4 linked regions of the Arabidopsis thaliana genome follow. The protein of the gene in region 4 binds, or shares a complex with, the protein of the main gene of each other region. Each region holds a gene or a part of one and is shown on either strand. Other genes may lie near its edges. The genes, in order: MED9, AT5G03500, SFR6 and MED32.

Region 1 (7,244 bases), about 17 Mb from region 4:
AATCACAGACCAGCTTCAGTTTCACTGCATCATATGATTTAGTAACATTTGTGGCTAGTTTTCAGAAAATCAAACCTTGAACATAGATACTGGTCCACAACGGAATATCTTCCTCATCCTTCCATAGACTGAAAGCTCTTCATATGTCATTCCCATGTCGACTTCATCGAGCTGTTTCAAAACTCAAGATATCTGAACTGACATCTTCGTTGACTTTATAACTATATAGAGTCTCAAATATTTTTGTTATTACCTGAGAATAGTCAGAACGAATGGGCTCAAGCTCAGCTGTTGGTGGAGCAGCTTCTATCTCTGCCAAGGATGGATATCCGAGATTCGTTGCAGCCCATTTTAAGAACAACCTCAAATCCATTTTACTGATACTTCCTATAGGATTTATGTCTGCTGAGCTGCAATCATACTGTTTCAACCAAGAGAATGAACAATATTTTTTAACCATCTATGAAATTTGAGATGTAGCAGCCAAAAAGTGATTACTCCATTACCTTTGTCAGGTAACCACGAAGTCCTTCATCAACGTTGGAGCTGCCTAGAACAAGGTAAAAGCCTGGTTTGCTATGAACCCAAGGCAAGAGAGACGCTAACATAAATGCTAACACCATTCTCATCCGGGCTTGAATGTTCTGCAACCCAAGGTTCTCAGCATTTGATCCTCCATCAACCTAATAAACAAAACCAACAACCATTTTCACAATTTTAGTTCTTCTTCTCTTCTCCAGATGATCATATTTCATTTTTTCTAACAGTTTGCCTAGGTAATGTATATTCAGACTTTACCTTATACCTTGGTCGCTTGCCTGTAACTGTTTGAAATAATGATAAAACTGCAGAGACAACACCATCTATGCAAACATCAAGATGCCAAGCACCAATCTCGTCTGCCAGCTGCTTTGAACGCCTTTTTGTCTCCTCAGAACTGCAAATTTAAGATTTCAATATGGGGAAAAAAGTTTCATCTCTGCTGTAAATCCACACAGTGACGAAAAATCATATTCTCTTTGCTCTTATTAACTAATTCACCTGTTTTCAGAACCCATAAAGACAGTGTAAAATATTCGTTTGGCAAACTCTTTGCTATCAGTAGGAAACTGCCCATTAGCATAATTCCCAATTCGGTTCGCATCAGCTTTTACTTGCTCATCTCCCTTTGCAATCTCTAAACAAGAAAGAAAATATACTCTGAGAGAACTCAATATCATGAAATTTCAACAAGACAAAACACAGTTCAACATACATAGAAAAAAGCGCCAGTGTACCTTTAACAACAAGTTGGCACATGCAGCCAACAATAGCTGCCACGGAGGAGCTGTCTGCTCCGCCAGAAAGAGGAAGCAAAAATCCTGAAGCGCCACTTCTTCTCAAATAGTCCCACATCCAGCAAGCGGGACCAAAGGCTATTTCTTCTTGTGGAGAGTGGTAAATGATCTACATTACTAATGTATATTAGAGTGGAAAATTTTAGATGTTAACTTAACATCAAATACTCAAGGATGGAGAACCTTCTTCGGACTGCTTAGTGTCATTTTCAGGTTGAAGGACTGTGTAAGTCTACAGGGCACAGCTACTGAAGATACTTTAACCTTGCAGCTTGCTTGTTCCTGAAAGCTACTTATAGATCCACGAAGGCTAGCAACCTTTCTCAAGACAAATAAGCAAGATGATCCTAAGAACTTTTCATTTATATATCACAAAACAGAAGAAAGTAAAGCCAAAGGGTAACTGTGGGATACCGCATCAAGATCCACTTGTGAAATGATGACCTCAACGTCTCTCAACGAGAATTGTGAGCCTTGAGCAACAACATTCCCGTTTACAACAATACATGCACATCCATCTGCACTTGGTTACAAATGAACAAATCTCACTCAAAAAAGTAGATATGATTTACTCAAAAATGATACTTTCAATAATTTTAAGGGTTGTCAAACATACCGTAGTATAAGCGGCTACCATCGCATCCTTGTTGATTACTGTACATATACACCCCACCACGAGCATGAGTAGCCCCCATAAAAGCATTCAGACGAATATCTAGTTTCCTAAGTTGGTGATGACTCCCACTTGCATTCATAAATACTTCAACACCATTCAATGCGAGCTCGGCATGAGGAGGAAGTGGACTAAACAGTTCCTCACAGACTTCAGCTGCAACAGCCCTGATAAGGAAATATAACTGATACAGTTAAGCAGACAAAATCATTGACAGTGTTGAAATGGAAGCATTTATCCAAACTCACGTGTCGATAAACTGGATGTAACCATAACCAAAAGGGACTGATTTCTGCTCCAAAGCCTCTGAAATTTCAATGGGGAGCTGAAATTCCTCTAGCTCTTCTCTCTGCTTCCAAGCTGTGAACCACCGTAGCTCCCTATAGTTTCCATCGTTTGCGAGCCACATTTTCGGTCGAATCATGATGATTCTTCTGTTCATACAGAGAACCTGGCAGTTATAACGCTCTGCTCCTTTAATCACAGGCATTCCTATGCTGCACAAAATATCATCCGTCCAATCACCAAGCAGCAATTCCTTCAAACACTCCCACCTGAAAGAAGATATTCACATGAACATAAGAAGAAACGGTTAAACATGATTCCGATAACTAAATTCAGAAGAAAAAGAAATTAATTCCATCATCTAAAGTGATAGTACCAAGTCATTCATGCCATTCATCATCGAAATAGAAAACTAAAAATAGAAGCTTACGCATGAGTGACAGTGTCGAGTTCCAAGAAGTGATCCTCGCAACCATAGCCAGTGACCTCGAGCTCGGGTCCAAGCCTGATAACAGCACCAGCAGCCTTTGCCTCAGCGATCGAAGCCTTGATGTTCTTCATGTTGCTCTCGAAATCCATGGCCCATTGGTTCAAGTTACACGTAGCAACCTTCAACAGCCTCATCTTCGTCGCCTAAAGAGAAAGACAAGTAAATTTACTGTACATCAAGTAGTGTAAAAAATCTGACTTATCTAAGGCACAAACTTGTTCATGAGAACAGAAGCTGGTTAAATTAGTTAAAGGAACAAACTTTGTATTACTTTGCTAATACTAACAATTCAAATTCAATTTTAACAGCCATAATACACAATATCTGTAACGAAGAACTCGTCAACGCAACACTATTCGATGTGAATCAATTGCCAAAAGAAGAGAAGGAAGAATTGGAGCTTACGTGAATGTGCAAAGAAACCAAGTATCAAAGTCGTGAAATTCGGAGATCGTGAAAATTGAAAACTATGGGAGTTTGTATTTCTTTCAGATGTGAAATTCACAGACTCCAAGTGATTGTGCAGTGCTCGTGCAGAACAGATTGTGACCGACCAAGAAGAACATTCGGTTTGAGAGGAAGAAGAAGAAGAAGAGATTGATACTGAAACGACGGCGTTTTACGATTGTAAATTACAAACAAAACCTTAACTGAGAACAACTTCGTTTTATCATGACACGACATCATTTTTTTTTTTTTTTGGTCAAAACACGACATCGTTTAAGTTCCCACTTTTGTCTCTTCTTCGTTCTTTTAAGTTTTAATAGACGACGACGGCGACGAGAAGGAGAATTAGCGAGATCGGAAGGAGAAAAAATGGATCAATTCTCAGGAGGAGGAGGTAATTGGTCGATGATCCCAAACGTGCAGGCGCAAGGTAACTTCGGTACACCGACGAATCATGACCAGCAACTATTCCTCCAGCAACAACAATTACAACAACAACAACAACAACAACAACAACAACAGTTTCATCTTCAACAACAACAACAGACGCAGCAGCAACAACAACAATTCCAGCCACAACAACAACAAGAGATGCAACAATATCAGCAATTCCAACAACAGCAACACTTCATCCAACAACAGCAATTCCAACAACAACAACGGTTGTTACAATCTCCTCCTCTTCAGCCACAGTCGTTACAATCACCTCCGCCGCAACAGACGATGGTTCACACGCCTCAATCTATGATGCATACACCGCAGCAACAACAACAGTTGGTTCAAACTCCGGTGCAGACTCCTCAACAGCATCAGTCTTTAGCTTCTCATTTCCATCTCTATCCGGTAAGAGAAACAAAGAAAATTGATGAAATTGGAATCGTTGGGGGTTCTAATTTCGTGTTAATGACGCAGATGGTGGAGAAATTAGCTGATGTGATCGAAAATGGAACACGAGATCAGAATTCTGACGCCCTGGTTTGTTAAAAATCAAGTCTTTTAAAGTGGTTTTGAGATTTCTAGGGTTTCTTATTGGATGATGTTGAAATTGTGGGATTTGCAGGTGAATGAATTGAATAGCCATTTCGACAAGTGTCAACAGTTGCTGAATTCGATTTCAGGATCACTAGGATCTAAAACTATGGTAACATTTTGGATCTCTGTATTGGTTCTGTTTAATCTTTTGTTTCTTATGGATCTCTCTCTCTCTCTGTGTTTTATAGACTGTTGATGGCCAAAAGAGAAATGTTGAAGAAAGTGAGCAATTGCTTCAACAGAGAAGGTTAGCTAGATTGTTAGTATCATGTTTTATCTGATCAGATTGTGATCGTGCTCTTACTCTTTTGTTGTTAAATGTCTTCTGGTCAGGGATTTGATTGTGGAGTATAGGAAATCTATTGAAGAGATTGTGACAATGGAGCATTAGTTTCTCATATTTTGATTCAGCAACTGTTTAGCTACTTAAGACCAATAATTGTTATCAATAAACCAATCTTGATTCACATAATAAAGAGAATGTGGTTTTCTTCAAGAAAATTCATTCTTCGGATTACAAATAGATCACAATGCATAATGTGTTTTGTCTGCATCAAACCAAACCAAAATCTTTGTATGTGGGACATGCAACAGAAAGCTCAACCCAAAAACGATATAAGCCCAGGTAGTTGTTGAACATAGTGAGTGGTTTTGTGATTTAGATTCAGAACAGAGTAGAAAAAGCATTGTAGCGACCATGGAAAATTCAACCATTATTCCACAATGATCCTCCAAATATAAAACAAAACACCATTGAAGCCACATCTATTAGTCTTTTAAAAAGAAATAAAAACACCGACTTCTAATCTATCCCTACTCACTATTTTGAAATCATGATAATAGTCTTAAACAGGTAAAAAAAAAACCCAATAAAACACTCACGTAAGCTTCATATTCTCTAGATAGTTTGGAACAGCATGAAACAAAACCCGTTTAGAACCTTGAGATTCTGGAACTTCAACTCTTACTCTTACCACAATGTTCTCCTCGAGATTGTAGTAATAAAGGTAAAAAGGAACTTGTGGATCATAGTGATTTGGGCAGAATACAGCTTCACCTTTACTAGTAACTAAAAAGTTTACATCAATTCCATTGAACTCCGGCCATTGAAGGGGCTTTACGTAGATATGCTTTGACCATTTACGTTCCTGGCCATGCTCTAAAACCCACAACACCAAATCGTTATCATTACTATTTATTGAACCTAATTTACCCTTGTAGTTTATCAGAGAGGGAGGTTTCCAAGTAATAAAACCAAATTTCTCAGACCTAACGTCAAAGCAAACGATCATAGGTCCCAACATAGGTTTCATAGAGGTTGCTGCATAATACAAAACACCTTTGATGCATATCCCCTTATGATAACGGTGGGTATAATAATGTCTGCGACATTGGATCTTCCTCCAAAATAGATTTCTCCTTCCAGTCTCGAATGTGAGAACTTGATGCTGACTATCAAACTCCTCCCCTGTTCCATGATGCACCGAGGTTACACACAATACCTTGAACCGTTTGTTGATTGGATCATACCCGATGGCGAAATAGTTTATTGTCGCATGTGCTTCCAATATGGGTAAGGTTACGTACTGCCCTGTGATGGGATTATAAATCACAAAAACTGTGTCATTTTTTATCTTACGGTGATAACAGACCAGTCCGTGGACAGAGCTAAGGATTTGAGAGAAATCTCTAGGGATATCCGTATGATGATGAGCAGTGGCTACAAGAGATGAATTCTCATCTGGATTTTCAGGCTGTGTTGAAGTGTAGGAAAATAACATTCCTCCACCTAAGAAGGTGAAGATGAACCTCGGTGGATCGGGATACTTGATCGGGAACAACTGGTTATAATTTGGTTGTCGAATTATCGACGACAAGAGCTTACATACACAACGACACTTGGCCATAGACTTTGCAGACAATTTCGATAAGATTTTGATGACCAAATCTGCAGGGATTCGATCAAAGTATTCTCCTCCAGAGTTTGAACATCGTTTATTGGATTCAAATACGGTTAGGGTTAGGTTTTCTTTTGTATCCTGCTGCTTACGTTTTGTCATTGCCCTAGATTTTGACTCTGCTTGGTGATTTCAAAATCTTCATCTTATGATGACATATGTACTATGCCTCAATCAAGCACGCTCCATCATTTGGGCTTTTACTAAGGTCCACTAGATACTTTTAAGGCTTTGTGTTTTGTCCGCTGGAATTTAAGAGAATCGATTTTGTACCTCTTCCTTTCGTAATTTCCTCCTCTTGTCTCATCAGAAGCTGTCCTTTTTCATGTTTATACCACCTAGAAAGAAGATTACAATAGACCACGATGTTTTGTCTGCATCAAACAAAGTCAAAATCTTTGTCTACAAGACCACTTTTTCTATACTCTTGGCACATGCAACATAACCAGCGGTTCTCGAGATACATATATGTATATGAATAATATATACATTTGATTCCTTCTGATCAACACCAAAAAGAGAGGTGAATGGAATTTAAAGATTGATATCGCATCTCAGCTGGCTTTCTCTAGTCATCTTTCGTGTTGTTGGAAACGGTTTATCTTGAAGATATAGCTTGATGAAGACGTTAAACACTGCTGCTTACTCTGTTGGTTGTGTAACCTTGGATTAAGCTTGATGGCGGAAAAAAGTATCGTAACCATGGAAAAATCAACCATTCTCGTTAGACTCAACAATGGGGTTCGAAAGAACATACCCGTCTCTGTTTTATCTCATATGACAAACATGAAAGTTGTCTTCCGTGGACTAACCAACTGCATCACAACCTGTTAGTATGTAGAAGGGAAAGTAAACAGTGCTCTGATGTTTCAGTTTTGTAAAGAGGTTTGTTTCTTGTTCCTGACACCTTATTTTAGATAAAAATAAAATAAAGAGAAGCACTTGTATATATGTGCGAGAGCAAGTGCAAAAAGATCACTCTGCTTATCGAAAGCAATAATAACCCTTAACAGCTAAAAAAA
Region 2 (7,514 bases), on a different chromosome or scaffold from region 4:
ATCCATGATTTCTTTCTGCCAGAGTGCAGGCTTAACGATTGCAGTCCATCCTCCCGCGTCAGTTCCACTAAGCAGCAATGCCTTTTCTTCGCCACCTTCTCCTTTGATACACATGAAGGCGACACTGTAAAACCAAGGATACAAAGTTTATATATTTTTTTGGGGAAAATCGAAGCCACAAAGTACGGTACCTCTTGAGGATACCCCTTTCAAAGTCTCTGGGAACATAAATATGTGTGATCTTTCCGCATGAAGCGAAATGTTTTTCCAACACGAGCTTGACTGTATACTCACGGAGCCTAGTGTCATATCCCTCCACGGAAATCTTCGTCCAAGGGATACTAGCAACAATTTTGATTGCAGGTGGAGAGTTAATATTATTATATGATCATTCAGCACGTACCACCAAAATAAAATTCCCAAGATAATATATTTACCGGGGCTTTCGAGAGTTTGCACCAATCTCGTTCAATTGCAGCAATTTCATACCCTAAGGTACAACAAAAGATCTAATCAGAGATTCTACTACGCGTACTTGATATATTTTTCTTCTTACTTGTGGAGAAAGAAAACAACATTAATAGAGAAACAGAGGTTAAGCAAAGAGTGAGTAAGAAGAAAATCCATAAGGGGAAGAAGATTACTTTGATGGCGGATTCGTCCATGGTTATTGATACAGAGAAACCACAATTTCTCAATTAATCCAATCACAAACACACATTGAATCGTCGTTCATAAAACGAGAATCCAAATCTCATGTGATAAAGCTTAGAAGTAGAAACAGCTCTATCACAATGAAGAAATAGCTATGAGAATTCAAATAGAACTCTCAGAGAAACAGAGGACAAATGAAGAAGAAGAAGATAACAATTCAACACAAATCTCATGAATGATTATTTTTCCTCTTCGCTTCCTTTTAACGCTTCTTTTCTCTTCTGTTAGCATCCAAACAATCTCAGCCATTAAACCAACTTCTAATCTCCACCCTCCACGTGTCCATTTAACCCTCTTTCTTATTCCTATATCAGTTATAAATTGACAAGAACGACTGCTATGATCTAGGGATTTAGTTCTGAACTAGGTTTCTTTGTCTTTTTTGTTTCGTTAATTCCCTAATTTTATTCTGGTTTGGGACATTTCGTGTGTATGAGTTACGAACAAACTGTTGGGCCTTGAATTTAGTTCTGGCCTACGTTTAAGCCCATATGGTTCTAATCTTCTTCTTTTTTTATAAGTTGAAGCTTGTAGTACTTGGTAATGTAGCGCATCAATAATAAATTGTGGAGCATAAAAATGATAATAAAATGACTATTGTTTGATCTTGGAGTCCAAACAAACTGGATATCTTCAAACCGATGTCGCCAGGCTTTTGCTTCCCGAATCCAAAATTAAGACTCTTCCCGTTGACCAACTGAATGACTTGTTTAAAATCACCTTCAAAGATAGCTTTGGATCCATTTTTGTTAAAAATTAGAAAACAAGGTTGCATTGTAATACCGAAAGCAGATAACGTTAATAGATTAAGCTTACTACTGTTTTTTTCTAACATCCAGAGAATGACATATCATACATGATCAAGGCAGGTGATGATTACTGAGCTTACTTACTTTTAACATGCAAAGACAAAAACAAACAAAGGTAAATACATTATAAAAAAACAAAGAGGTTCGTCTCCTCCTAATTCTCCATCTCCCTCCTAATTCTCCATCTCCATCCTCTTTCTCCTGTCCATATCCATCTTAATCTTCATCTCCATCCTCTTGTGAAGAGAAATAGAGTGAGTAAGAGGAGAGTCCATAAGGAGAAGAAGATTACTTTGATGGCGGATTCGTCCATGCTGATGATAAATTGACAAGACCGACTGCTAGGGTTCCAAAGATATTTGACAGGATTTAGCTTTGAACAAGGTTAATTTTTTTTTGTTCAACTATTTTTTGTTGATTCCCTTATAAAGCTGTTGTTGTTGTTCAGATACTTACGTGTAGTTACGAACAAACTGTCGGGTCTTCAATTTAGTTTAGCCCTGCGTTAAGCCCATATTGGTCTAATCTTCTTATGAATCCGTTATGGTTATAATAGTTCCCGTTAAGCCGAAATTGTAATAATAAATGTTGAACCGCACTAACCGGCGGAACTAAATGCCGGTTCACGGGTAACATTGAATAAAGATGATATAGGCTTTACTTGTTGAATCATGAGATTGCACACGTCTGTCTCTCTCTCTCACACACACAGGATCAATTAAAAAAAGTTTCGAGGGCATAGGTTATTAGCGCTAATTTACACAAAATGGGATTAACAAAAAGTATACTTTATTGACCATCTAAAGTGACGAAAGCATCCTTAAGAAGTCCTTGTGCTTCTTCTCTCCTCCTGCACACAACCAAAACATCAAACGGACCCATAAGAACAACCAACAAAGCTTCTGAAGAATCTTTAAACAGATGATAGATTGATATTAAATTATTAACACACCATAAAGACAGAAAACTTAAGTAGCATATACAAACCTCTTAATGTCTTCCACAGCTTGTTTCCTCTGTTGAATTTGAAGTTCCATAATGTGAATAAGCGTTGCTCTCGCCTATACAACAAGAGAAAGATCAAAACGATGAAAAAACAAAAAGTGTTGAAACCATGTTGTAATTAATCGAAAGATGAGAGCTTCTTTACTTGGTGAGGCCTCAAGGAATTGAGAAGGTGATGCAAGTTCTTGAAGATTGAAGAAATTTCACCAATTCTCTTCGCATATTGAGAAGGTCTGTCAACAAGAACATCAGCAAGCTCCAATATATGTAACTGTAGTTCTCTATTCAGTGACCTGAGTTCCTTCTTGTAATCTACACACAAAGATATTTGAACTCAAAGAGGTACTTTCAAAGAACATAACTTGCAAATGAACTCATGTAATAAGTTTGATTCCAATGAAGGGAAGAACCAAAAACCATACTCTAGACAGCCAATAGCAATTGCATTTTGAGTTTGATTTCACAGAGTTAGGAGAATGACATACCAAGATTAGAATCTTTTGGATAAAGTTGAGGCACTCCTTGTTCTTCTAAGCTTGGAAGAACATCTTCAGTCTACTAACCAAAAAAATTGAAAATTGCTAAAAACACATAAAGATGAAGATTTTAAAGAGGGGGAAATGTGGAGGAGACTCACAGTATAGTTGCCTCCAAAACAGACGTAGGTGCCTTCAATCGGAGGAGGAGGTTCAGGAGCAGAATCAGTGTTTTCTGAGAAATCCTTGTAGAGTCTGTAATATGGAGGAGGAGGTGGATATGTAGCTGTAGCCATTATTCTCTACATATCCAAATCAAAAACTAAGCAAAATCAGTAACAGATTCCTAAAATTAGGGTTTCTAATCAAAAACAAATCCGTCTACCGCCATAAAACAATCTGTTCTCATTAGAATACAACTATGTCATCACTACCAAATAACTCTGCGACCACTAGAAACTAATCTGTCATCACTAGAAACTAATCTGTCATCGTCACGTTGAAGTAGCCGCCACCACCACAACCGTGTTATTCCTAAATCACCACCAATTTGTCCAAAATCGTCAAATGCTTAACAGTAGATTTCAATTGATTCATGAGGAAAAAAGAAAGGTCAATACAAAAAATCCAGTGGCCACAAATGGGTAGGGAGACGAATGAGTTGGTGGCGACAAGGAGAATCTGAGGGAGAGAAATAAAAAAATCCCTTTCACGGGAAGCATAAAAGACAGAGTGAAAATAATAGAACTCACTGGAGATTCGCCAGAGAGATGGCTCGGCGGAGAATTCACGCAGCCGGAGAAGACGATCGGAAGAAGACACGCTCACCAGAGAAAGCAAATCGAGATTTGTTTCCTCTCTTTTAGTTGGGCCTTTAATTTAGTTCAGGCCTGCTTTAAGCCCATATATTCCTAATCTTCTTATTCCTCGTGAAGCTTAAAACGTATTTCTAGAGCCGTTGAGGGATTTGCTATATGGGGGAAGACTCTGTTCCACCCACCTATATCAGAATTCAGAACCATTTTATATGCTTCAAATGACAAAAGAAAAATGTTTTTAAAATATTGGAATTCAATTGTGCAAGTTTCGGTATAATTTGTTTAGGTGATCCTTGCAAGTTGCAACAACTACTTAACGGTTTTTGAGAAGCCTTGTAAAAAAGGTTTTGTTAGGATGGTGATGATGAATGTATGATGGGTGACGACTAATTATGTTTATGATTTTATTTATTTATTTATAAAGTATATGCTTTGCTTAGGTTGAGTAGTGAAGCTAGCTAGTTGGCAAGTAATGGCTTCTTTTGGCGGCCAAGCAATTCTCTATCTCTCTTTCACACACACAATCCTCGACGCCAAGACTTAAATCAATTCCTCCTGATTTATTCATTTTAAAATTGTGATGATACTAGCTTCACAATACACTCAAAAATATTCTTCTTAATGATCTATTGTATGTATAGTAACACGTTAGCAAAAGATAATCATTGAGAGCCAAAGACAACTAATGTGTATAGAGTTGAATGAGTAAAAGTTGGATATCAATCCAGCTCTAAGAAACTCATTATGTAGAATGAATATTAAAAAAACATGTGTTTCTTGAATTTTATAAATTGCTGTCACCGAGTTTATTAGTATACTATACTACAAAGACCTAGACTACAGTTACAAACTACGATAAGGGAGGTTACTTCATCGAATACATATTATTAGCTAATCACAAGATTAATAATGGTTTGATCAAATAATTGGATAACCAAAATAAAAATCAAAGTTTCTTAGAAAGAGGCGCAAACATAGGGAGTGATATTATATATTTAATTCGTTTTAGCTAATATCATTATAACTAAATATTGTATACATAACTAGAATCATGATTCATAATTGTGTGTTGTGTAATTGTGGGTTGGCTCAACTGCACATGAACTGCTCGACCCCAAAATTCGATTGCCTTTTACTTTCCAATTAATTAACTTAATTATTTAATCAGCAACTTAAGTGTACATATATCCGCAATGATTAGTAGTATTAAGAAACAAAAACAGAATTCGACGTATTTTCAAGTTAAATTTGTACTTTAGTAGCTTTTATATATAATAGTTGGTTTCAAATCTTTAATGTAATTTGTTACAAAACGTAATAAGTTTGCAGGAATTTATAATATGCTTGAATTGTGTGTGTTGTGGTACTGTGTTTCGTGTTGAAACTACTTGTGGATGACTCAAGCCATCAATATAAAATTATTTATAAAGTTTTAGGATTTTAGTTAGTGATAATGTGAAATCAAAGGAAAAAAAATCAATAAATTGAGTGGCATATTTAGAATACGCAATCCAGTTTGATTCTTCTTAATATAATACATTACATTCCAAGTGTCAAAATTGTAGTTCATTTTATTAATAAGAAAAAATGGTATATGTAGAATGACACCTTCTTGAACAGAAAACACAGATTTAATTTCATTTTCAGAAAGAAAATAAAATAACATCTTCTAAGATTAGTGTTGACATTGAATCCACATTTTTGTTACTTTAGCTATAATGATGTGTGTCTTTTGAAATTATAAGGATGCTTATGAGTATTTAATAAGTAAAATACTAGTATTTTTTTTTATGTGATTCATAAGACAAGCAAAACAAAAGTTAACCAAAAAAAGAGAAAATCATTTAAAAAAAATTGAAAGGAAAAAAATAAAAACAAGAAGAGAACAACAAGTGGTTCCAGGCTTGCAAACCAAAACTTCCAGAAAGGAATCCTTCACCAAAAGTTATTTTGGGTTTGCTTCTTTTCTCATCTTTTCTCTTACCCATTACATTATATATACACACAATACTATTGTGTGTATAAACAAATACAATCACATACAAATATATATAAATACTTAGACATATAAACCAAACCCACCAAACACTCTTTGATACTTCTCTCCATATATACATATACGACCTCTTGTGTTCTTGAAATACAGAGAGCAAATAAAAAACGGAGGATCATGACAAGTGTTCTTGAGGAGAGTGGAGACCACGCGCGTCTTGTTCTCCTCATCAAGGGCAAACGCACCAAACGTCAGCGTTCTGCGTCTCCTCTTATGATGAACGCTGCTGCAGTATCCAGCGTTTGTAGCGGTGAACGATCATCAGTGGAGGTAAGAGAAGAAGAAGCTGCTGGTGAAGTAGAATTCCAAGGAGCTACCGATGAAGACGAAGATATGGCGAATTGTCTGATCTTGTTGTCGCAAGGACATCAAGCAAAGAGCAGCGACGATCATTTGTCGATGCAGAGAATGGGTTTCTTTAGCAACAAGAAACCGGTGGCTTCTCTAGGGTTAGGGCTAGACGGTGTTTACCAGTGCAAAACGTGTGATAAAAGCTTCCATTCGTTCCAAGCGCTAGGAGGGCACAGGGCTAGTCACAAGAAGCCAAAACTTGGAGCTAGCGTTTTCAAATGCGTCGAGAAGAAAACGGCGTCTGCGTCTACGGTTGAAACAGTGGAAGCTGGAGCCGTAGGAAGCTTTCTTTCCCTACAAGTGACTAGTAGTGATGGTAGCAAGAAACCGGAGAAAACACATGAATGTTCAATCTGCAAGGCCGAGTTTTCTTCAGGACAAGCCTTAGGAGGACATATGAGGAGACATAGAGGTTTAACAATAAACGCAAACGCTACTTCAGCAATCAAAACAGCGATATCATCATCAAGTCATCATCACCATGAAGAATCTATACGGCCAAAGAACTTTCTCCAGTTAGATCTGAATCTTCCAGCACCCGAAGATGAACGATGCTGCGAGAAACCGAAATTCGCGTTTGCATCCAAAGATCAGATTCTTCTCTTCACGGCCGCGTCAAATTCTTTGATTGATTGTCATCACTAATTAAGTAGTTCTTTGTAATTACTTTTTTATTACATTGATATGTTAAATCATTAACCCTTCTCTTATTATTGTCCATTCATTCTTGTAATCTGACATTGATTGAATTAACTTCAAATTATTTCATTCTTTGAAACTACTCATTGCTCCATAATTTAGCACATTTCTAATAATCATCAATATATACACAATAGTATATAAGTATGTGATACTTAACTTTGGGAGAATGATGAAAGATGCTGAGGATGTTCCTTGGAGAACGGAAGAAGCATGTGACGATGACTTTCGCATAAAGTCACTTCGTTTGTTAGCCGCCACTAACTCCTTTGGATACACTTCACTTCCGTTTGGGGTTTTTCGTTTTTTCAGATTCTTTTCTGATATAATAATACATATATCATTTTCATTAGAGTAAATCAAAAGACTACATCTATAATAATCTACAAAGACTCGTTCAAAAATCGGATCTAAAGCGTGTTTTGAGAGTCCAATGTTGAAGTATACAGTAGATGTGATTTGATCCCTAGCTTCGACTATATACTATCGAATTTTTTTATTATCGAATGTGTTTTTCACTAGAAAATACGATAATATACTGACCGATGTCTTGAGATTTTGGACATATATCACAAGACATTCATGTAGC
Region 3 (8,213 bases), on a different chromosome or scaffold from region 4:
TAAAAGAGTTGAAATATCCCCCAATTGCACCCCTACAAGAGAGATGCCAAGCCCAACAACAAATATAACCAGTTGTATCTCCCATAATCTACGTGGAAAAAAGAGCTGGACAATACGCTATAGTTCACAGAGATGAAGAATATCTAGACTTAAGAAACTCATCTCATATTCAATAAATCTAGGACCAAACAAGTGCTTCGTATCATCACCGAATGACAAGGGAATGAAATTTTTTGTCGCTATGTACCATTCAAAGCCCTTGTTGTCATGCTGGAGTAAATTAGGTATGACAAAATCAATAGTATACTGACCCTGAGGTGTTGCAGGAGATGATGCATTTTGTGTGGGACTGGTAACATTGTTGCGATTACTGCCAGTTCCAGCAGAAGCAGCATGGCTTGCAAGAGTCCGACAAAAACTCGCATAACGCCTTAAACGTGTGATGAAATGAGAAGCAAGATCAAGAACAGCATCCACATAAGCCTGTAAATGAAGCGGAAAAGGAATTAGAGTACAGAAAAATCTGCAACAGGAAACCAAACTTGTAAAAGGATAGTGATATGGTCTGTTTCATATACAATGATATGAGATCCATGATAGAATATGCAATGTCACAATATGATCTAAAATGTCTTAAGCTGTGCTAAATAACCAAATCTAATACAGCATGTGTTGGCTGATTATTAAAAGTAAAAACTAAGATATATCAGCAAAGAGCAACTACTCTTTAAATGAAAACACTGCATGAACCGTTCCCAGGGTTTGAGCCTGAATTTTCATCTTTCATCAAAGAAAACCTACAACTTTATCCTCAGATTTGAAGGCATCAAGATACCTGAATACTGGAAACAAGAGCAGGATCAACAGCCATTGCCTCCGGATTGATGCCTGTTATTGTCTCCCCATCTACTCGCCATGGCTCAAAAACCAACGCCGAAGGATTCACAAGAGCTGATTCAATACCTTTTCCAAGCATGTCCAACAACAACCTTGCTTGCATATCTAAAACCATGGCACGAACCTCTTGAGCATTGGTTCCTTCAAGTAACCGACATTTGATCCTATCTAGGTTCTGTAAACCATAAAAATACAAGTTCTTTACCAAAAAGCGCAACCAACCAAAAAGGAAAAAAGCAAAAAAAACACGAAGAATCTCAAGGGGGCAATAGACTGCCAAGATTTTGTTCAGCGTCTTAGAATCAGTCAATCAGATGCATTGTATATTGGCTACTCAAATAATCTAAAGTCAGATGAAGTTTGTTCCTTTTTTCTTTCTTTTTTTAAATTAGAGAAAGCTACACTATCTTATAGTCCGATAAAAGAACAACACAAAATAGGTTCTGCATGCTCATGGAATAGAGAAGCTTTACATTATAAAACCAGAAAAAAAAATATATATATATATATAAATATTTTGCAAAGACATAATAAACGGTACCGCAACGCAAACAGTTCAGACATTTAAAAAGGAAAAAGATAATGAGTTGGATTCGGGTTGAGTAAAAACATACAGGGCCATATTGTTGTCTGTGCTGTGTTGAAGGAAGGGAGTGAAAATCAGCATCCATGACAGCAATCACGCTGTTCAATGAAACTGTAATCATAAAAAGAAATACATCATCCAATGCTTTAAGCAGTATATTATTCAAACAATACAATATAATATTTGAACCACTATCATTCAAAGTTTCTATCATTCAAACCTTAGTATAAAAGCAAAATAGAAAAACAGAGAAAAGGTTCTTTGAATGACACTCAGCCTTTAAAAACTAGAACTTATTCCCAAACTAAAATACAAACTGTCATATTTCTAAGCAAAACTAATTCCAGTGGTTGTTCCACAACTAAAGACCCAAAAAAATCCAACTGCAGATATTAAATAACACTTAAATCAAGAAACTTAGCACTAAAGTATACCTATCCCATCCTCTGCAGCACTCTGTGTGCAGCCAACTGCATCCCACCAATCAACTCCGACCAAAAGACTCCACCAGAATCTGTTAAGAAAGAATGCAGATTCATATCTCAAGTCACAATATAAGTTCCTTTGCAAGCAGACAAGCTAGAAAATATATACCAGAGATTACATACCTCTCAGCGATCGCCCGCTCCCATGTTGATTGATCAACCTTTGATTGGTTACGCGGAAGAGCAGGAGGAAGAACACGGATGATTTTCAACATTGCGCAGTCCTTAGCAGCATCATGCCATACAGAAGCCGAACAACAGCTTGTTGGTGAAAATGCGGGTGCAGCAATTGCAGATCCAACATTTATTTGATAGTTTTCAACAGGTGAAAAAGTTGGACCAGAAAAGATATGAACTCCACCACGAAGAAAAGCAATCGCAATTTCACCACCATGAGCAGAATAGACAATCCGTGCAAGTGTCCGAATATCACTTGGCAAATCAAAAGGATCAAATACAACCTTGTTAGCCTTCTCATCACCAGAATCAGGCTCCTTTGGTGCATCCACACTTGGTCCTGCTGCAGCTACTTGATGATTCTTAAAATCTTTAGTAGGTGGTATGCTCATATCCACTCTGGATACCCAGACAGTTTGCGTGGGGACCTGTCCTCCAAAATTTGAAGTTGGGTTTCCAAATATCTGATGCAGTACAACAGGTTGAACACTTGATTCCCAGCGCTGTACTCTCCAGCCTGTGATTGAAGGACCTTCATCTGGATCATACGGAGACATGTACTGCCCTGCAGACACAAACAATTAGCATTTATTTTAAACAATAGATTGAAGCTGTTGCGCTTCATCACTCAAACAAAATTAGCATTTTCTCATCTGGCAGCTCTTCAATATATGAGCATTTCTAAATGATTGACCAAAAACTAAACGTAAACCTGAAAATGTTTATTCAATCATGGAAACAGTATGAGGTTCCGAGAAGGATGAGAACAGTACCTTCAACTATAACAACTGCTATCACTGAACCACCACGAGTTGGATCAAAAGCAACAGCGGTAACACCAGATCCCCATGTTGTGGTTGCTGCAGACTGAGCTGCAGCCTCTGGACTTACATAAGCAGAAAAATTGGAAACCGGTGAGCAACTTAGCGATATAGCATCACTGGAATCTTGATCTGAGGGCTTCTTCCCTTGCTTTATCTCGGATATTAAGTATTCTTGCCAGCTAAACAAGTACGCAGCTAAAGGAGCAAAACCTGTCCAAGAAGAAGAACTAAGGGATGGTGGCACACGACTGCCTGTAGAGATTTTTGGAGTCGCCTGGAGTCCATTTCCAGGGCCAGGGGTCACCTCCCATACTACAATTGTTGAAGGGTTTACAATTGGAACTCCTGCTACATGCATGGCACCACTGTCTGTTATAATAGCATCAGCAGCCATAATTCCACTTGGCCCTGCACCTAAAAGACCTTTCTTTGTACTAAACCACTTTGGTGCAGTGCTTCCCTGGTTAGAAGGCCACTGGGACCAATGAATTTGAACAGAGCCGGATGAGAAAACAGAGCATACACAGAGAAAGTTGGGCCACCGAGCTGCAACAAATGGTAGAGAATCAGAACCGTCACATAAAGTGGAGGAAAATGCACTAACGTCAGAACATGTTGTATTGATCTTGTCACATATATTTGGATGTCAAAGGAACTGACATAATTAAAATTAAGTGCATAATTCTGAATATATCATCAAAAAATGAGTCACAAGAGGCACGCAGAAGAAAACCTGAGCTTTCAGAGCTCTGCGAGAGAAATTTCTCCTCGAAAGTTGACTTTGCATTTGTACCAGAACTTGGCTTGGAGGACAACCACCTATACTGATTATCAATAAAAAGAAAACATAGAGGATAAATTTCCTAGGATAAAACTAGAGCAGCAAACTAGGTGGCCAGAAACAACATGATATTAAGTCCTTCAGAACATGTTCTTTGCAATGGCATTATTATCTATCTGTTACTCATTTCCTTATGTGTTCATGCCGATCATTAAAGAAATGCATCTAAGAAACGCAAATTGGAAGATCTTTTAGGAGTCTAGTAATTTTGCAAACAGAGAGTTGGGATTTCCAGGACGTTGTGTTTTCTCCATCTCATTTCCTCCAAAACGTAGAGACATTTCCAGTTCAATTACTCACGATTTAGTAATCCCAGTGCCCACTCTCACATGCAAGCCCTCCATTACTAATTTAACGAACTCATTAAGGGACAAATATGCTGTGCATTTGATAGAATGGCAAATAAGCAAAACATAAGATTACATACTGGGGAAGCCCCTGTCAGCCACTTTGTAACAACAGCAATGTCCTGACGCCATTCATGCTCACACTGCCAGGAGGTAGCGTCGTGCACTAAATTAGCCGAACCCTGCAAAACCAATCCACAAAAAAAAAATCATCTGAGGGTGTCATAAAACATCTTGACACAGAAGACAAAGAAGAAATATAAAGGTAAATCCCAGTGATCAGGAGCACAAACCTGAGTAGGCTGCGTCCAGATAGTTATACGTCCATGAAAATTAGCAATGAGTAACGCACGAGGACAAGAAGTGGGAGACCATTCGATAAATTGGACAGAATCACGAGGAGAGTCTACATATAAAAAATTGCATCATAATCGTTTATCACCCACTAGATCAACCGAGTTCATAAATAATTAACTGATATCAAAATACCTGCCACAACATTAAACACCGCACACTCAGTAGGGCGCTCAGGTATCAAGATATGTATTGGTATCCAAAAAGGTGTATTTGCCTTGGAGCTGCAAGAGATGAGAACAGAGAAAGATGAAAATTGAGAAATTCATCACTGCCCATACATTCAAGACATAGAAAAGTAACAAAAACCATACCTTGGAATCCTGGCACAGGTCTCGGAAGCACAAGCAATAGCATTCAATTTGCCACACCACGCAACAGCACTAACACAAAGAAAAGGAGAAAACTTTACAGGAATTGATGAAATTTAAAGATTTTCCGATGGGAGAGAGAGTCAAACCTGAAGTTACGGCACAATTCAGGAACACTCATCTTATGAAGCAAATTGGAATTGGGCTGCTTAAGCTTAACACAGAAAACTGTAGCCGGACTCACAGGATCAATCTCCATGTTACTACTACTACTATTATCGTCTTCTTTCTCTCCGTCTACTGATTTCTCTAACAATTTCTCCTCAACGACGACGAGAATCGGATCGGTAGACTCAATAGTCTCTTCCTGCTTCTGCTGTAATCCTTCTTCCTCTTTCTCCTCCACTATAGCTGGAGCTTCGATGATTCCTCCACCACCGCTATTATTAACCAAAGAAACTTCTTCTTCTGGGTTTTGCTGATTCATGTCAACGAAAGCAAACAAAACCCTAAATTTATAGAAAAATCGGAGAAAAGAGGGCAAGTGTGACAAAAAGTCGCGATTGAAGGCGACAGAAAGCACTGTGCGTTGAGAGAGAGAGAAAGTGTCAAAGTGAGAAACTGTTAAGTGGGGTTAACGAGACGACTTAGTGCGGGGAAAATTCCAAAATCCCCACAAAATCAAAATCGAACAAAAAATGCAATTTTGATTTTAGGGTTTGGTGGAGTCACAGTCTCGTCGCCGGGATGCAGAAAAAAAATCTCGGTGAAAGTGATGCAAAAACGCCGTCGTGTCTGGTCACTTTCTCTCTAAATTTTTTTCCCCTCTTTTTGTAATTTTTTACTTTTTCTTTTAAGAGCAAAAAATGAAGAAGTAAATTTTAAATGATAGTTTTGAATCTTTTGATTAAGGAAAATGATCATAATTTCATTTTTTCTTCTAATTTACCATCTTCAAATTCAAATTTGTAAACATGGAAAGGTACTAACTTAATTTGACATTTGGCATTTGAGGATCCTTGTTTGACATTAGTTTTTTTTTTTTTTTGCTAAATTTGTTAATATCATTACAATGAGAGTTCAGAAAATACAAGAACGTACAACCTATAGAAAAGTAACCAAGGCAAAAAAAATAAAAACAAGGCTACAATAGAATTAGAAAAGATTTAGGTGTGTTTAACGAATCCATAAAAGCATTAGCCGCTGCCAACGCTTGCGATGTCGTCGAGAAGTGATTAGGTTGCGAAGCTCACGATCCACCAATTTGAAGATGATAAGAGGTGCCACGCGAGTAGAGTTGTGCAAAATATTAGGCTTAGGCATTAGTTCATTTGCCTCCTCCCAAATCAAAAGTTAGGCTTAGGCATAAGTGTTTCCCATGGTTGTTGTATCTCCCTCAATGTAGCACGACCAAGAATGAGAATCACTTATTGCTTACACCAAATTCTTTGAGTTACATGCATAGCGTACTGAAAACTAGTTGTTTCGGCTTCTAACTAGATACAAGCAGAGCCATCCATGAGCACAAACGGGTCAAGCTCATGCTTGCGGCTTCAATTAATATAAAGGGAATTTAATGAAAAAAAACCTCAACTTTGGCCAGATCCATTTTTAAACCCTAAACTATGTTTTTAGTAAAACAAACCCTGAACTAAAACCTGTTAATAAACTTAACCCTAAACGTTGTTTAATTACTGTGGGGTTAAGTTTATTAACAGGTTTTAGTTCAGGGTTTGTTTTACTAAAAACATAGTTTAGGGTTTAAAAATGGATCTGGCCAAAGTTGAGGGTTTTTTTCATTAAATTCCCTAATATAAATAAAACTTTTGCCTCATTTTCTTATAACTTTCAGTAGAAAAGTTGGTTATTTGCTTATAAGATTACATTAGAGAGTCAAAAGTTTGAGTTCATCTTCATCTTCATTTGCCTTTTTATTTATTTTTTCATTTTCACTCATTAAACTAGAACCAAAAAAAAATTCCTTCTTTCAATCTATTAAATACTAGGGATGGATATGTCTTTGCACCATACCCTTTTAACCACCTTCTCATATCTAAGAATGCACCAAATTTCAAACTTATTCATTCCATGTTTACAACATTACTTATAAGTTTACTTGAGCTAGTTGTTCAATTTAAAAATCTCCCTATGTGAAGGTTGTTTTGCCTCATCTTCCTTCTCATTGTGTTTATTCCATTCATTAGCATCCATCATCTATCATTGCTCTGTGACAGTCCAAGATCTTTTGAGCTTTTATGTGTTGACCTTCTAGTTTCACATAATTGATCATCGATTGAAGTTTTGAACTATTTGTTGAAAAATAAATAAATGTGGTTAATCCGAACTCAAATTGAATTGTGAGGATGTGTCTCATGCATGACTTGCTCAAAATAATCAGTGAGCAAGTATTCTAAAATTTAGACTGAAAAAAAAAAAAAAAAATAAGAAAAGAACAACAAAAAAAATGAATTATGATTTGTGTTGCAAACCGGATTCTAATACCGAGCCGAGAGGGTATGACCAGATTTAATTTACCGCTTTTTGGTTTAATTCAGACGGCTATTGGTCGAACCGGAATGTTTGGTCTGGTTTCCAAAACATTGATCAGGACTCGAAAAATAAAAGATCTTATTAAAATCAAGGAAGCAATCGTAGTCTTCTGTTTATTGCTTCTCCCTCAAATATTTTCTTATTCGTTAAGGTTACAAAAATCAAAAAGACTCGAAGAAACCTGAGATCGAAACCCCAGCCATGGCGGGTCGTTACGGATCGCAAGTCATGACGATGACTGTGACCAATACTCCGTCCGCAGATCTAGCTTTTACTAACCTCGCTTACTGCTCTTCTTCCGATCTCCGTCAATTCTCCGTTCCCGGTTCCGATCTCTTCCTCGCCAACGTTGCCGATAGCTTCATTCTTTCTCTCTGATATCCTTTCTTATTTCCATTTTACGATTCATTTCTTACATTGCAATGCGAAATGCGATCCTAGGAGTTGATTGTTTATGTGATATGGCTAATTACTGCTAAATTTACCAAAATCGATCTTCGAATTTGAATCTCGGCCTTATGAATGGTTCTTATAATGATTGATTGATCTATGATCGTAGTACAAGTTAGGTTTTTCTGGTTTTCATGGATTATAGAAATCTAGGCTCCTTTGGTCGGTGACAATGTTGAACTTGTTCATTGTGTCATTTATTTCGATTTTTGTGAACTTAACTGGTGATTACTGGACATGGAAGCATCCGTGATGGAAATATTGCTCTCAATGCTATTCAAAGGCGACACGCTAGAGTTTCGACTGGTGATATGGTATCTGTTAGCAGGTGATTATACAGCTTGTTTTTATATTAATTTTCTGGCATGAATACGTTTTTGGTTTCTGAATA
Region 4 (7,094 bases):
AACAGATCGGGTACATGCACATTCTCACCTGCCATAGTATTGATGATCAGATTCTTGGAAATAAACTTAATAATGACTTGAATCCAATATGAGAGAGTCAACACAAACCAACAACTCTTAATGCGTCATTCAAATGAGACTCTGTAAAAAAGTCTTCCCCTTTGTCGTCCTCAGGATGGCTGGATTTCAAGTATCTCTGAAGAAGTATGTTGGCTGCTTTCATAACAGCTTCTTTATTGTCTGAAGATGAAATGAATTCTAATGCAATGCGCTTTCCGTCAGGCGCAACATCCTTTTCAATCTCCTGGGAAAGAAAAACAAAAACATTGACAAGGTAAAGTTTATATCATGAGCTACATAACTAACAACATAAGCTAAAGATTTGATTCACAAGTAAAGCAGCAAACTAAATGAAAGGTATGAGATTAATATACCTCTAACAACATGGAACCTGGAACGGTTTCAAGGATCAAATCCTTGGATTTCTTCAATAAACCTAAAGAAGCCAACATCAGCAATCATTTAATGAACGTGAAAAAACGAGATAAGTAGCTAAAGCATGTACCTTGAGAGTCAAATAGACCAACTTGTTTAACCCCAATGGTGGTTAGCCATTGCAAAAGCTCAACAACATTGGCAACATCTTGAGCTGCTTCGATGTCCACTACAACAGCTAGACACCGGAGTTTCTCAAGATCGATGGAACCGTACTTTTTATTCAATCCTAACGTTATGGCATAGCTTTCTATTGCCTCAAATATGCCAGAGACAATGTACCATAAGCTCACAACAATGTGTATAAAACGCCATAGCAAATTAAGACCAAGATCACCAATCTGTGGAATACAAAAATTCAACAGAAACAAAGTTATGGCTTGAAGACTCAAATTGGCAACACCAAATTGTTCTTAAACACTTAATTCCATAGGCCTTGTTGAAGCATTAATGAGCTAAAGCCTGTCAATGATCAAGGAATACAAAAAAAAATCTCACTTGACCAATCCAAGCACTGAGGAGCCGCATCGATTGATTCGAATCCATATATCTGAAAAATCAGAAAACACACAACAGAATCAGAAGAAATTTGAACAAAAGGGTTGTCAGAAATCAGAATTAACAAAGAGAAGAGAGACGTACACAAAAAGTGACTGTCTCCGTAAACAACGAAGGTGTTTGCTGCGTGTGTTAGGGAGATGTTTCCAAACCAACCAATCGAACTTTCCTAAAACCCAAAATTCCTTTTCATCGGAATCGGAAAAGGAAGAATCTTTGGAGGCGAGGTTAGAAAAAGTGAGACACTTTTGAAGATGATCTTATTAGCCTCTGTATCCTGGTTTTGGCGATTCGTTTGCTTAAACCTTAGCAAAAAATCACTCTAGTTTGCGAAACTAACTCTGTTATCTGAGAGGAGTGTGAGACGTCTCGGGTTCAAACCCTATAACTTAAGTCTTAAGTGTGTTTCTAACTTTTCTTGTCACGGTTTTGTTGTGAGTGTTCATGTTTTTGTTACGTTTATCACGATTTTGCTGTGAACGTGAGGTAATCAAAACTCAAAATTATACTAGTTCGTTTACATTTTTAAACTCTTGATAATCATGGTTAATACAAAACCAAAAACACATCATGTACAAGATCAAAATTAGTATTCTTTTTGAAACAACAGAAACATAATAACATATGAAGAATCACACAAAAAAAGAACAGCTTCTTTACTTGAGATTCAGAATAAAAAGCCCAATATTTAGTAAGAGTCATAAGTCCTAAATGATACCCCCAGTGTTGCTTCTAGCTTGGCTCAATCCCATGAAATAACAGAACATAACACTGATTAGGCCACTCTTCCCATCACAACGACTGACTCGAGAGTTATGGAGCTGCGGTTGTCGAACTTAACACTAACTAGGCACGCTATTGAGTCGAGTCTTCAGAGAATCTAGAATCAAACCCGGTAGAGGATGAATGAACAGAACCAGGAGCTACACCAGAGCCACGTTGCAGCTCAAGAACAAGCCATCGAACCGCTCTACTCATCTGTTCAAGCCTTACTGCACTAATGGGAGGGAGACTAGTCGCAGCACCAGTCACCGCTGCTGGTGCTTGGCCACCTGCTGCAGTAGTAGTTAAACCAGTAGCCTCATCAACTAAACACTCAGATCCAATTCTCTGCTTAACTGACTCCACAAACTCCTCTGCTTGATCACAAGCCACACGGAACAGTTCCCATTTCTCCTTGAAATTCTCCAACGCAGTATCAGTGAGCAAAGCTTTTTGTCCACCTGCACTCTCTTTAGACTCAAGAACACCAGCTGAAGCAAGAACAAACTTCTCATAAGCTTTGTTCAATGAGTCCACAATGTTATCCATTTGATCCCTCCCCTTCAAATAACTGCTCAAACCAAGTATCAATCATGAGATTTCAAGTTAAACAAGAAAAAACTGCAAAAGGAATCAAGTAAGATCCCAGCAAAAGTATCTGGAAATAAGAAACCCTAAAAACCTCAAAAAATCTTAATTCGTTCTCGTTAACGCTACACATAGAATGAGAGAACTCAAAACCTCAGGGAAAGAATAAGATGCTACGGTAGCAATGGAAGCTAAATGATCAAAAAGATTACATCTTTGAGACAGAAATTTAACGAAATTGCAAAACTCGCGATTGCTTTCGCAAACCTAGGGTTCAAATTCACGGCATAGAATCCGTAAACTCGTGAAGGAATTGAATCATTAGAGCAGTTTTAGACAGAATCTAAAAAAATCAGCCCAAAACCGCCGGAGATAAAGAGGAGAAACTTACCGGCGATGAACGGAGAGTCCGATTTGTGTCACTTTCTTTCTTCTTCTTCTTCATTGTAATAGTCTGGTTAGGTTTATATGGTAAAAATTGAAATTAAGATTGGTTAATACAAACCGGACCGACATAAACCGGATTGGTCATTTGGATTTTTTTTTTAATGTTAAAATTCCATATACATACAATTTAATTTCTCATCTTTTAAATATGTGTGTTTAATGTTATAAAATAAAACATCTAATCGAAATCAAGACGATTTTAATCAACTTTAGTGTTAATATAATAATAAAGTTATCACAATTAAACGATAGATATGTATATACTAATCGAATTATTTATCTGTTTGTAACGAATTGGCAGAATATAATAGGTAGTATTTGGTAAATGTATCACGTCAAATTACTGTCCGTGTTGAAAACAAATGTTCTTTGGAAATATTTACTCAAAGATCTAAATCCATATATTGTTCTCCACTCAACCATCCATATCTATTGTTGTGTTTGAAACGATTTGATACCGCAAATCATTAATAGAAAATACTAATAATAAGAGAGCAATATATAATAAGAACGTAAATTCAAAAATAGCATACATATATGTCTATATATACAATACCGTAAATAAAAAATTACTCCGATGACAAAACCTCTAAGCATCTAGAAAGAAAAAATGAAAAATACTTCAATCTTTCTAGTTGTCTTTGCCCTATGCATGATTAGCAATGCATATGGCCATTCGAATCCATTTAAAGGAAAAAAGACGTCGTTGTTATTCAGGAACAGTCTTTCTCACAACAAATGGCTCAAGGTACGTTGTAAATCTGGGGACAATGATGTTCGTGAAAGATATATGAAACCTGGAGAAGATTGGGGTTTTAGTTTCCACGATGACGTTATGGGAGAAACACTTTTCTGGTGTACAATGTATAAAGGAGCTGATTACAAGGTACAAAAGAAGTTTGACGCATATGTTCAAGACAAGAGAATGCCTCATGGTGGCTCGTATAATTATGTTGCTCAAGAAGATGGGATCTATCACAGTACTTTGATACACCGTATGCGGAAGATGTATGATTGGAATTAGGGATGTTGGATAAAACTCTCCTATGTTTATCCAATATTTATAAAATGCTTATTCAAATCTTTGATTTGATATAGTTGTAAAGTATTATTATTACTCTTTGTTTTCATGTAAGAATCACTCTTTACATTCAAAGAAAAGTGTAAGGGAGAAGTTTCAGAATGATTCAAAGAAGGACAATTTGTTTATGTGCATGTTATCCTCATGTCAATTTAAGGAATTCGTCAAGAACAAAAAATAACATGCCATTATTAAAAAAACATTACGTTTGCGCCACAAGCTCTTGACATTGCTTAATTACTTGTTCTCGCCTTTGTTCGAAGTGTTTTTGTTTGTAAGATCATATATCAGCTATACATCCTCCTTGCATTTATTATAGTGCCTAGATTTTTTTTTTTTTTTTTTTGACATTCAGTGCCTAGAATTTTGGTTTATGTAGATAGAAAAGTGACACTCGACGCAAATTCGAAAGAATGCCACCGAAAAAAATGGAACGAATGATGTTTCGCTATGTTGGATGCTTCAGATCCCATATAACAACACTACTCTCAAAATTCATAAACTCTCAAAACATATTAATTTAGTAGCATCACGAAAATACATGTTGTTCTCAAATCATTACAATAACTTCTACTCTTATTAGCTGAAAAGTATAACCTTATGTTTTTGTAAAAAGATTGCTAAACGTTATATTTGTATATCTTTTCAGTTTGTTAATGTCATTAGAACGAAGTGTAAAATCGCTTCAAGATTTGTTATTCTAAATGTATTTTAGAACAAATATTCTGAACATTAAATTATTTTCAACAAAATTTATTTTGAATAACAAATAACTTGTCATGGTCGTAACTCTTTTTTTTCATTCTCTAGATTGAATCAAAAATAATTTTGTTTTGTAGTATAAAACATTTTTGGTCTTTTATTCACCGTTTTATAGAACATTAATATCTCAAGTTCTAATATGAAAACAAAAATAACTGATCCCTCAAAAAAAAGGAAGATAAAGGTTGAAAGACATGTTATTCTCTTCCCAAAACAACCTAATCCAATACCTCTAAAAATTTATCTTTCTCACAATGCCTTCAAACAAATTGTGTTCTTTCTATAGTTAACTTGACTATATTAAAATCTCTAAAGTTAACTTGACTTCTGAAACTTGTGATCTTTCTATAGTTAACTTGACTATATTAAAATCTTGAGCAATTAAACCATTAAAAAAAAAAAAAACAGGAGAAACCTTGACCAATACAACAAATCCTAAAAATGGCCAACGATAAGAATCACAACAGAAATTTAAAGACTACATGTAACTATTTATACTACAGAAAACACCAAATAGAATCCAATCAAAAAAAAAAAAATGAAGATCTTTTGTTTAATTCTCTTCTTAATCTCCTCCTTCATCTCTACTTCTCTTGCCGTCGAACCTCCGCCTGAAACAATCTACCAAAACTTTCTCCAATGTTTCACAAACCAAACAAAAGCTCCTCCTAACTCATTAGCCGACGTCGTTTTACCAAAAACCGCTGCCGCTTTCACCCCCGTCTTACGCGCTTACATCCGTAACGCGCGTTTCAACACCACAGCGACTCCGAAACCCGCGATCGTAATCGCGGCGCGTTCCGAGAGTCACGTCCAAGCTGCCGTCATCTGCACGAAATCGCTAAACATCCAACTGAAAACTCGAAGCGGTGGTCATGACTACGAAGGTGTTTCCTACATCTCTCACGTTCCTTTCTTCGTCCTCGACATGTCAAATCTCCGTAACATCACCGTCGACCCCGCCACAGAGTCTGCATGGGTCGGTGCCGGTGCAACACTCGGTGAAGTTTACTACAGGATTTGGGAAAAAACCAAAAGTCATGGATTCCCCGCCGGAGTTTGTCCCACGGTTGGAGCCGGAGGTCACATTAGCGGTGGTGGCTACGGAAACATGATCCGAAAATACGGACTCTCCGTTGATTACGTCACCGACGCCAAAATCGTTGATGTTAATGGACAGGTTCTTGATCGGAAAGGAATGGGAGAAGACATGTTTTGGGCCATTAACGGTGGAGGCGGTGCTAGCTTCGGTGTTATCCTAGCTTTCAAGATCAAACTCGTCCCTGTTCCACCGACCGTAACCGTTTTCAGAGTAGAGAAAAACTTAGTCGAAAATGCTACTGAAATGGTTCATAAATGGCAATTTGTTGCACCCAAGACCGATCCAGGTCTATTCATGAGGCTATTGTTGCAGCCGGTGACTAGGAATAAAATGCAAACGGTTCGAGCATCGGTTGTGGCTCTCTTCTTGGGGGACCAAAACACTGTTATGTCTATGCTAACCAAAGAATTCCCGGAGCTTGGTTTGAAGAAGGAGAACTGCACGGAGATGACTTGGATACAGTCGGTGATGTGGTGGGCAAACAACGATAACGCTACGCAGATTAAACCGGAGATTCTACTGGACCGAAACCCTGATATGGCGACTTTCGGGAAAAGGAAATCTGATTTCGTTGAGAAAGAGATCACTAAAGATGGTTTAGATTTCTTGTTCAAGAAAATGATTGAAGTTGGGAAGATAGGGTTAGTGTTTAATCCTTACGGAGGGATAATGAGTACGGTGGCTACAACGAAGACACCATTCCCACATAGGAAGAAGCTTTACAAAATCCAGCATTCGATGAACTGGAAAGATCCGGGAACCGAAGCGGAAACCAGTTTCTTGCAGAAGGCGAAAAGCTTTTATAGCTACATGGCTCCTTTTGTGACCAAGAACCCTAGACACACTTATATCAATTACAGGGATCTGGATATTGGAGTTAATACCCCTGGCCCAAACAGTTACAGAGTAGCAGAGGTTTTCGGGAGGATGTATTTCGGTGAAAATTTTGATCGGTTGGTGAAAGTGAAAACTGCTGTGGATCCGCAAAATTTCTTCAGAGACGAACAGAGTATACCTACCTTGCCTGGCAAGCCAGCTAGGCGTTAGTTTGTGTAGTCACCTTACTTGGTTCCCTTTGATTTCCTTAACCACAATGTAAAATATGTATGCTATCTGAAAAATGATATTTCCTTTTTGTAATTATACAATTCTTTTTAAAAATGGCCTAAAACCTCAAAATTTCAGCAGAAATTGATCTGCTATTGTACTCGAGTTCCGGTCATATCTTACATGATAAAGAGATTCTATGACAATAAGAACATAAGAAACCAAGAAAGTGCGAAAGAAGTAGTTGCTGCT

Evidence for each region.
Region 1: MED32 (region 4) and MED9 share a complex: the UniProt entries of both Arabidopsis thaliana proteins name them as parts of the mediator complex.
Region 2: MED32 (region 4) and AT5G03500 share a complex: the UniProt entries of both Arabidopsis thaliana proteins name them as parts of the mediator complex.
Region 3: MED32 (region 4) and SFR6 share a complex: the UniProt entries of both Arabidopsis thaliana proteins name them as parts of the mediator complex.

The regions. Positions count from the first base shown.
Region 1 is NC_003070.9:20,550,532-20,557,775, reverse strand, and holds MED9 (mediator of RNA polymerase II transcription subunit-like protein), read left to right. Parts: upstream 1-3,521; 5' UTR 3,522-3,601; coding exon 3,602-4,075; intron 4,076-4,144; coding exon 4,145-4,207; intron 4,208-4,292; coding exon 4,293-4,373; coding exon of another isoform or gene 4,374-4,452; coding exon 4,453-4,511; intron 4,512-4,597; coding exon 4,598-4,655; 3' UTR 4,656-4,871; downstream 4,872-7,244. Other genes in the region: AT1G55090 (carbon-nitrogen hydrolase family protein), read right to left, coding at 76-171, 254-421, 507-683, 799-937, 1,042-1,177, 1,278-1,446, 1,521-1,655, 1,752-1,855 and 3 more; AT1G55070 (F-box and associated interaction domains-containing protein), read right to left, coding at 5,143-6,324. UniProt on the Arabidopsis thaliana protein: Component of the Mediator complex, a coactivator involved in the regulated transcription of nearly all RNA polymerase II-dependent genes.
Region 2 is NC_003076.8:874,361-881,874, forward strand, and holds AT5G03500 (Mediator complex, subunit Med7), read right to left. Parts: upstream 4,016-7,514; 5' UTR 3,414-4,015; coding exon 3,390-3,413; exon of another isoform or gene 3,307-3,389; coding exon 3,166-3,306; intron 3,084-3,165; coding exon 3,014-3,083; intron 2,841-3,013; coding exon 2,674-2,840; intron 2,585-2,673; coding exon 2,511-2,584; intron 2,374-2,510; coding exon 2,313-2,373; 3' UTR 2,080-2,312; downstream 1-2,079. Other genes in the region: AT5G03495 (RNA-binding (RRM/RBD/RNP motifs) family protein), read right to left, coding at 1-124, 192-341, 438-490, 645-665; AT5G03510 (C2H2-type zinc finger family protein), read left to right, coding at 5,993-6,871. UniProt on the Arabidopsis thaliana protein: Component of the Mediator complex, a coactivator involved in the regulated transcription of nearly all RNA polymerase II-dependent genes.
Region 3 is NC_003075.7:2,495,027-2,503,239, reverse strand, and holds the start of SFR6 (sensitive to freezing 6), read right to left. Parts: upstream 5,310-8,213; coding exon 4,972-5,309; intron 4,895-4,971; coding exon 4,826-4,894; intron 4,736-4,825; coding exon 4,647-4,735; intron 4,564-4,646; coding exon 4,451-4,563; intron 4,340-4,450; coding exon 4,238-4,339; intron 3,794-4,237; coding exon 3,703-3,793; intron 3,516-3,702; coding exon 2,919-3,515; intron 2,711-2,918; coding exon 2,092-2,710; intron 1,998-2,091; coding exon 1,918-1,997; intron 1,595-1,917; coding exon 1,512-1,594; intron 1,073-1,511; coding exon 836-1,072; intron 484-835; coding exon 312-483; intron 1-311. Other genes in the region: NSF (AAA-type ATPase family protein), read left to right, coding at 7,574-7,749, 8,055-8,150. UniProt on the Arabidopsis thaliana protein: Component of the Mediator complex, a coactivator involved in the regulated transcription of nearly all RNA polymerase II-dependent genes.
Region 4 is NC_003070.9:3,970,448-3,977,541, forward strand, and holds MED32 (mediator of RNA polymerase II transcription subunit-like protein), read right to left. Parts: upstream 2,848-7,094; 5' UTR 2,795-2,847; intron 2,387-2,794; 5' UTR 2,365-2,386; coding exon 1,909-2,364; 3' UTR 1,539-1,908; downstream 1-1,538. Other genes in the region: LEW1 (Undecaprenyl pyrophosphate synthetase family protein), read right to left, coding at 1-28, 109-304, 435-496, 566-836, 994-1,041; AT1G11765 (Plant self-incompatibility protein S1 family), read left to right, coding at 3,461-3,874; AT1G11770 (FAD-binding Berberine family protein), read left to right, coding at 5,232-6,842. UniProt on the Arabidopsis thaliana protein: Component of the Mediator complex, a coactivator involved in the regulated transcription of nearly all RNA polymerase II-dependent genes.